Linked DNA regions of Schizosaccharomyces pombe. The gene in region 1 interacts genetically with each later gene. Each region holds a gene or a part of one and is shown on either strand. Other genes may lie near its edges.

Region 1 (3,746 bases):
CTTCAAATCAGAAATCAGTAAACGACGCAAGCAACGTAAAGCTCAAGAAATGAGAGAAGAAAGGTATCGACAACGGGCTGAACGTGATACAGAGGAACAGATATACTCCGAGTTAAATATGCAGAGACCTGTGCCAAAAACCGTAGTGCATGAGGACCCTGCTGAAGCATTCCCCACATTGGGAAGTCATCATCAATTTGAATCTACCGATGAGGTTAATACAGATGAGTCTACCTTATCTACTGCAAAGACTGTTTGGGGAACAAGAGCTCTTGCCAATATTCAAAATGACACCGATGATCAAGACGATCTTGATGGTTGGAAAGTTGACTGGGACAAAGTTGCTCAATTATCTGCACCTTCCAAAAACTCAAAAAACAAAAAAAAGAAGAAATTAGTTTTATTATCAACAGGTGCCGCCCATCGATAAAGATGGAGCATTCTCAGTGATGAAATGCTACTGAAATTTTTGAAATGCAGGAGTGGGCTTTATTTTGAAATATAGTTATAACACTTGTTGCTTGAATTATGAAAGTTTACGATTGACCAATTTTTTGGGGCATGTGAATAGTATTCGCTATTATGACAACCAGTTAATGTAAAAAAGGATAGAATCAGCTGATGATATATATCTACTTATTATTTATCAACATTTTAATATTATTAGAAAATCAAAATCAATTTTTTTAATTGATGGTTTTTATTAATTAACAAGGTAAAATAACTTTGTTGTCAAAGCAAACTAGTCATAAGCGTTCATCACATCTATTGTAAGACAAATCTGAAACATCCTTAAAATCGTGGTGGCTAACCTGAGAATGATATGTATAAGACGCGCGTAAAATAATCATAATGCAAAAGCAAAGAAACTTGAAAGCTAAAAAGCTAGAAATGCAGAGTAAAAAAAACATAAAGAATCATTCAACCATTGTCCACAAACAATTTTGCTGATCACAATTAAAAGAAGGCGGGGCCATCTTAAAACAGGCAAATTGTTGATCTAAAAAGGAAACACTGTTCCAAATGTATTTTCTCCTGAATACGTGATATACAAAAAGCCGTCCTCACTTTTATGCTCTTCGTATATCGTTGACATCAAGGCCGCTGTCGGGGGCAAGATTTCATCAATGAAAATAAAGATGGCCTTCTCAGGAGAAAGTTTTATCCGTTTGCGAATAACATATACAAATTGACCAACTGTAAGGTCAGATGGAACGAGATATTTCTTTTTATCTATTGCAGCAATATCAGATTTATCAACTTTCTCGCAAATAACCTGTTAAGTTAGCAGTTAAGTTTAAAACGTAATTTGTATTTTTGAAAGAAAAAGGTCAGACTTGTAACAATGGATTCACTTTTGATGACAAAAACAATGGGTGTTGTTCAATTCACCACTATTTTGCTCTGAAACCTGTTCTCTTTGACCACCAGACTCTACTTACAGGTATTCGATCGGGATATTTTTCCCGGATTCTTTGAGACTCTGTTTTTCGTTTCTCTGATTATTAATTAGCCTACTAGTTCCAGGTATTCTACAATGCTGTCCAAAAAACAACTTCTATAAGTTTTTGACACATACCAAAAGAAAAGTCGTCCTTGAATTGAGAACGCATGAGAACTCTCAAACTTCTTGCTTGAAGTAGTAACTCCTCTCTTCAATTGCTTCAAAATTCGGTGTTCTTTGTAAACGGTGCGTGAGTTATGTGGTATACGGTCTTGGATAAATAAGCGTACCCTTGGGTAACGTATACAGAGATATGAAGCAATCTTATGATACTATGATAAGTTACCTTATTTCGTAATAAATAAATACTTTACGAATCTTAAGCAGTACACAATCAAAAGGAATTTTTACTACTTCTTTATAGTATGATAGCCATAATTGGTATATACTCAATCCTTGGTACAACAAAAGTCACAACTCTTTTAGGAAGAAAAGCAAGAATGGAAATAAAGACGTTGTGTAAATAAATAATAGCACGCTTAACACGTAAATACCTTCCAAAAAAGGTTAGGAAATAGAATTTTGCAAATAATTACTATTTCTATCTTTCATTAAATAATCAAACCATTAGAAAAATAGTAGTGTTTGATGTAAACAAATAAGCGCTTCTTGAATTATTTGCTTAACATTGTGCTAAAAGTTGCTACAGCAACCAAAATCTAGCGAGTCTTGCTATTAAACCCCACCATAACTATTTATTTATCCTTTACCACACAACGAAGCTTTTAGTTTGTGAAAACAAAAATGAAGTTGTTCTATTTCTCTTTACTTTTTACTCTTTTCTTTGGGCTTATCTCTGCCAACCGTGGCCCCAAAGTTACAGACACAGTGTATTTCGACTTGCAACAAGGTGATGAGTTCCTTGGAAGAGTTACCATTGGATTGTTTGGTAAAACTGTTCCCAAAACAGCCGAAAATTTCCGCGCATTAGCCACCGGAGAAAAGGGATTTGGATATGAAGGATCTATTTTCCATCGCGTTATTCCCAATTTCATGATTCAAGGTGGTGATATTACGAAGGGTGATGGTACTGGTGGAAAATCAATTTATGGCAGCCGTTTTCCTGATGAAAACTTTAAGCTTTCTCACCAACGTCCCGGTTTGCTTAGCATGGCTAACGCTGGACCCGATTCCAATGGATCTCAGTTTTTCATTACTACAGTTAAAACACCTTGGTTAGATGGACACCATGTTGTTTTTGGTGAAGGTAAGAATTCATATTGTAGTTGTATATGTTTTATAAAAGTGACTATTTGTTTTCTTTTTCCTTTTTTTTGTTTGCTAATACTAATTTTATCAGTCCTTTCTGGTTACGATATTGTCAAGAAAATTTCCAAAGCTGAGACTGACAACCGTGATAAGCCTCTTGAAGATGTAAAAATTATCAAATCTGGGCAGTTGTCTCAAGAAAATGTTGAAGATGACGGAACAGATGAATTGTAATCCCTACTTTCTATTTATGAAAGTCATCAACATCTAGTGTTTATAAGATTTACTTGAAAAGCAATGATTTTACATTCTGTTAACATAAACGTTTATCATTGGAAGGATCACTTCTTGTGGTAGTTTGTTTGCATTTTCTGACAGCCATAGTTGTATAACTAATATACGCATAAAGAATGCGATTTTAACAAGTTTTCAATTGAATGAATATAGAACTCTACGTATATTATCCAATTTAGCAAGCGTAATAGCAATGCTGCAATTCTGATAGTAAGTATTGACAACAAACGCGAAGCTTATTAGCTGCTTACTATTTTGTTATGTTTTATCAAAAAGAACTCAAAGACATTATTTTTTCCTATCAGCTGGCTGATATTACTAGCACGTTGTGTAGTTGTTTACCCTATGGGCTCTTAGAAAAGCGGACTTAAGGAATTTCGAGAGTCGGAAGCTGTCCACCGCAAACATTTGGGTAAAATCGGTTTTTGCGTCAATTGTGAGAAATCAATTTCAAACTAATCGTAATGTTTGACTCAACAAAAAAATCACTGCATTCGATGTCGGATTCTGCGAACCGCTTCCAGAATAAGATTACATCGAAATTACCAGGTAAGCATATTTCCTTTGCTTTTTGAGACATTACTAACAAAATGGGATTTATAGGTGAACATGGCGAAGATGCTATGTATGATATTAGATCCGTTCATGGAACCGGGCCTCGTTTATCAATAAAATATGTCGATGTTACAAAATTGCCTCCTCCTCCAAAACATGCTTCACAGTTGCGTGCCGGTGGTAG
Region 2 (3,756 bases), on another chromosome or scaffold:
CAAATAAAAGAAGAGGACATTTACAATTACACTTTAACATTGTAAGTTGGAAGAACATCACAAAAAAATTTCATTCAAGTATAAAAATTCTAAACGTGATTCAGTGGCTTGCATTATAAAATATTTATTGTCATAACAATCATTATAAACTGTTTGTAAAGAACAATCATAAAAGGAGCAAACGTTTTCAAAAAAATAAAACAATTACTCGATGTATTGAAAATCAAACACCGACTTATTGAAAACATCGAATGCATCCAACATGAAGTAAAATCTATTCTTGAGCACCATTGAAAGCGAGAAGGTTAATAGTGCTGCTACCAACAGGAATAGACAAGAGTACATCGTGAATACCCATCTTAATGATAGCATCTTTAACTTCGCTAGCGCTGGCAGCAGGGTGTAGGCCAAGGTAGTAAGCGGACAAACCTGCAACATGAGGGGTTGCCATAGAAGTACCAGAGATGGTGTTAGTACTAGTATTTGAACCGATCCATGTAGACAAAATGTTAAGTCCAGGAGCGAAGATGTCAACACAGCTACCATAGTTAGAGAAGTAGGCCATTTGGTCGTTTATAGTGGAAGCGCCAACGGTGATGGCTTTCTTAGAAGCAGCAGGAGATGAATAGCAAGCGTCATCATACTCATTTCCAGCAGCAACGGCATAAATAACACCGTTGGTAACGGCAGAATCAACAGCCATATCCAAAACAAAGCTGTTGCCGCCACCAAGAGACATGTTGCCAACAGAGGTTTTCTTGCCGGACGATTTGTGATGACGAACAGTCCACTCAACACCGGCAATCACATCAGCCATGGTACCAGATCCACTGGAACGGAGAACCTTGACAGCAACGATTTCAGCCTTCTTTGCAACACCATAAGCACGGCTAGCAATGGTACCAGCAACATGCGTACCATGACCATTGTTATCCTCATCAACATCACCAGAGGGAATGGTTGCACCCCAAGAAGCGCGACCTTCGAACTCAACATGATGAATGCTTACACCGGTATCTACAACATAAGCGGTGATGTTGTCACCAGCGCTGGAATCGTAAACATATTTGCCAATATCATCGTATTTGACGGATTTGTGAGAGATGCGAGCAAGTCCCCAAGGAGCGCCACTTTGAGTTTCAAGTTTCTTAATGCTGACAACTTGATCACGCTCGACGGCGATGACATGAGGATGCAAGCGAATTTGCTCAACAATGTTAGAGCTGAATTGACCAGAATAACCTTTGAAAGAGTCCTCGCCAAAGTCATAAACATGCTTCAAGCCAAACATGTAATTACTATCACTAGTATCGTAGTACTCATCTTCTTGAGAAGCAATGTCCATTTGGTGCATCTCCGAGACCCAATTAGTATGGGCTTGGAATTCTTGTTCGCTCAAATCAGGCTGCAAAACAATGATATAGTGAGAGTCCAGTCCAGTGGTATCGGCGTTGGAAGCAGACAAGAGAGGAGCGGCATTAGGACCAGCATGAGGTTTGTGCTTAGGGGTAGCGGCTTCGCCGTGGGAGTCGTAGAAAGCGTTATCGAGCTCAGGACGGATACCAGCATGGGCAATGTCCGAATCAGTCGCTGGCATCACTGGTGCAGCACAGGCAGTAGAAGCGAAGAGGGCCAAACCTGCGGCGGCAGAAAAAAGATTTGAATAAGGAATTCTCATGTTGATGCTGAGAAGACGAGGCTGTTGGAGGGGGAAGTGATTGTGATTGTGGTTGGGGTAGTGATTGAAGGCGGTTAAATTGCTGAGATTGCTGAACAGTAGGCAAGTATCGTTGTTCCGTGTTTACTTATGAAAGAAAGACAAGGAAAACAGATGACAAAGACTATTGAAAAACTAACTATCTATCCCAAGTTCAGATAGGAAGAAATCGAGAGAGATGAATAAAAGAAAAAAAAAAAGAATTGTGGGCTATATACAAACTATAGTAAGTAGTATATGGGCGAACAATGGGATTAAGAGTTATTATAAAGAAAGGGAGAAAGAAACTATAATAATTCTCTAACAATTACTTTAATAAAATAAAAAATTGCAAGCAAATGAAAAACACAAAGCGAAAAAAAACGACTGTGAATGAAACAAAATCAAAACTAGTGGCACTGGTAAATTCAATTCCAATGCAACTTGTTCTAAGACGTTTGACTTTGTAACGAGGAGCGTACTGATACACGACTCAATGGGGGCTACCTCTTTCGTTTATATAGTCTATCCACCACCCGTACCCTAACCCTCGAACATCAACAAAGGGAGTTTGGACAGATAGAAGCAGAGATTCCGTAAAAAAGCAGGCAAAACTCAATTCCAAATCCATTCAATTCAATTGTAATATAATTTTTTTTAAAAAAATTCTGTTCATTTACTTCTCTGCTTTCTCCCTTGATTATTCGTCAAATGCCACTGTTCTGCATGCATCGCTGTATTAGCACTTTCTCAAGCGCGCCCTCCCTTTCGCAATTCGTTACTTGGCTGACTTAACGAGTCACGATATGTTCACTTGACGTCACCCCTCTAATCTAGCGATACGAGGTGGTTAGTGGAGGAACGGTGATCCATTGCCTGTGATTGGTCGATAAGCTCAAACAAGTGGTTCTTAGATAAACTTTGAAAGGCCGGATTGGTAAGGGCCACTCAACTGCCACTCTGTTCGGTACATTGAATGATAACGCTTCATGCGCATTGCGCTGCTTAGGGCAGAAAAAAGAGCAATTCAAAGATATGGAGGAACGGAAGCCGATTCACTGATAACTTGGTAATCCACGGATACACACATTGATCGGGACATACATAAAAAAAGAGGTTTGCAAAATTTCCAAATGTATGGAAGCAACAGCATATCCATATTCAACAATATGCACTCAATGTCATTTCATTTTCAGAAAGGTTTATTCTTTCCTTTCATGACTAGTATTCATTCTACACAAACAGTAAACTGAAACGAAAACAAATAAATTATAAAACACTAGCACAATTGAATGAACATGACTCTCGGTGTTCAGCTAACGCCCACTCATGTAAACAAGTGCTTGATGAAAAACATCCATCCATCCATCCATCCCCTGATAAGTGTTTGCTACATTACAACAGCCATTCTATCTTTATCAACAAATTGGTTGGAGACATTTATTTTAGAGGAGAGAAGATTGAGAGATTGTGTGTGCGTAAACAGTTAATTACCGATGCATCGTATTTCGGTTATTGTATATAAGAAAGAGTTGCTAGATGAAGCAATGAGGGACTTTAAAATTCCCCATTTTCACTATAAAATCCATTTCTTCTTTTCTATGAAACTTTACTTATTTGTATATTCTTATATAAATTGTTAAAGAAACAGCCTGTGGAGTGAGATCGAGCGAGTATTCGTAGCAATCGCTGGCTCTTTCCTATGTAACTTTTCTTCTATGCAGCCATGAAATTTAATGCAGTACAAGGGATTTAATCAAAGAGTTTTAATGATGAACAGAATGCGTGGATGGCATTTGCATTTCTTTGTATACGAACAAACAACATGTGACAACATTGACAATGTTTGAGATTCCCACAGTAAGAGAGATTGGGCGCTGTGTTGAAGCTCTTTCATCAATGCGCTCTCATTCCAGGTGTCGTTTGGACTAGACCATCACTAATAGTTCAACAAGTTGAAACAATTAGCAAACAATACAGAGAACAATGGCGTTATATTGGAACAAATGAATGACGGTTCTGTATTTTGGTGGCGCCGTACACCCAGCAATTTTGAATTT

What was found.
Region 2: of atg8 (region 1) and isp6, changing one suppresses a phenotype caused by changing the other (phenotypic suppression), as found in Schizosaccharomyces pombe (one study listed by BioGRID).

The regions. Positions count from the first base shown.
Region 1 is NC_003423.3:3,683,653-3,687,398, forward strand, and holds atg8 (autophagy-associated protein Atg8), read right to left. Parts: upstream 1,719-3,746; 5' UTR 1,614-1,718; coding exon 1,580-1,613; exon of another isoform or gene 1,499-1,579; coding exon 1,443-1,498; exon of another isoform or gene 1,277-1,442; coding exon 1,001-1,276; 3' UTR 629-1,000; downstream 1-628. Other genes in the region: rnf10 (ubiquitin-protein ligase E3), read left to right, coding at 1-430; cyclophilin family peptidyl-prolyl cis-trans isomerase Cyp4, read left to right, coding at 2,249-2,711, 2,805-2,947; SPOM_SPBP8B7.26 (uncharacterized protein), read left to right, coding at 3,472-3,556, 3,611-3,746. UniProt on the Schizosaccharomyces pombe protein: Ubiquitin-like modifier involved in autophagosome formation. With atg4, mediates the delivery of the autophagosomes to the vacuole via the microtubule cytoskeleton.
Region 2 is NC_003424.3:2,543,272-2,547,027, reverse strand, and holds isp6 (vacuolar serine protease Isp6), read right to left. Parts: upstream 2,187-3,756; 5' UTR 1,679-2,186; coding exon 275-1,678; 3' UTR 47-274; downstream 1-46.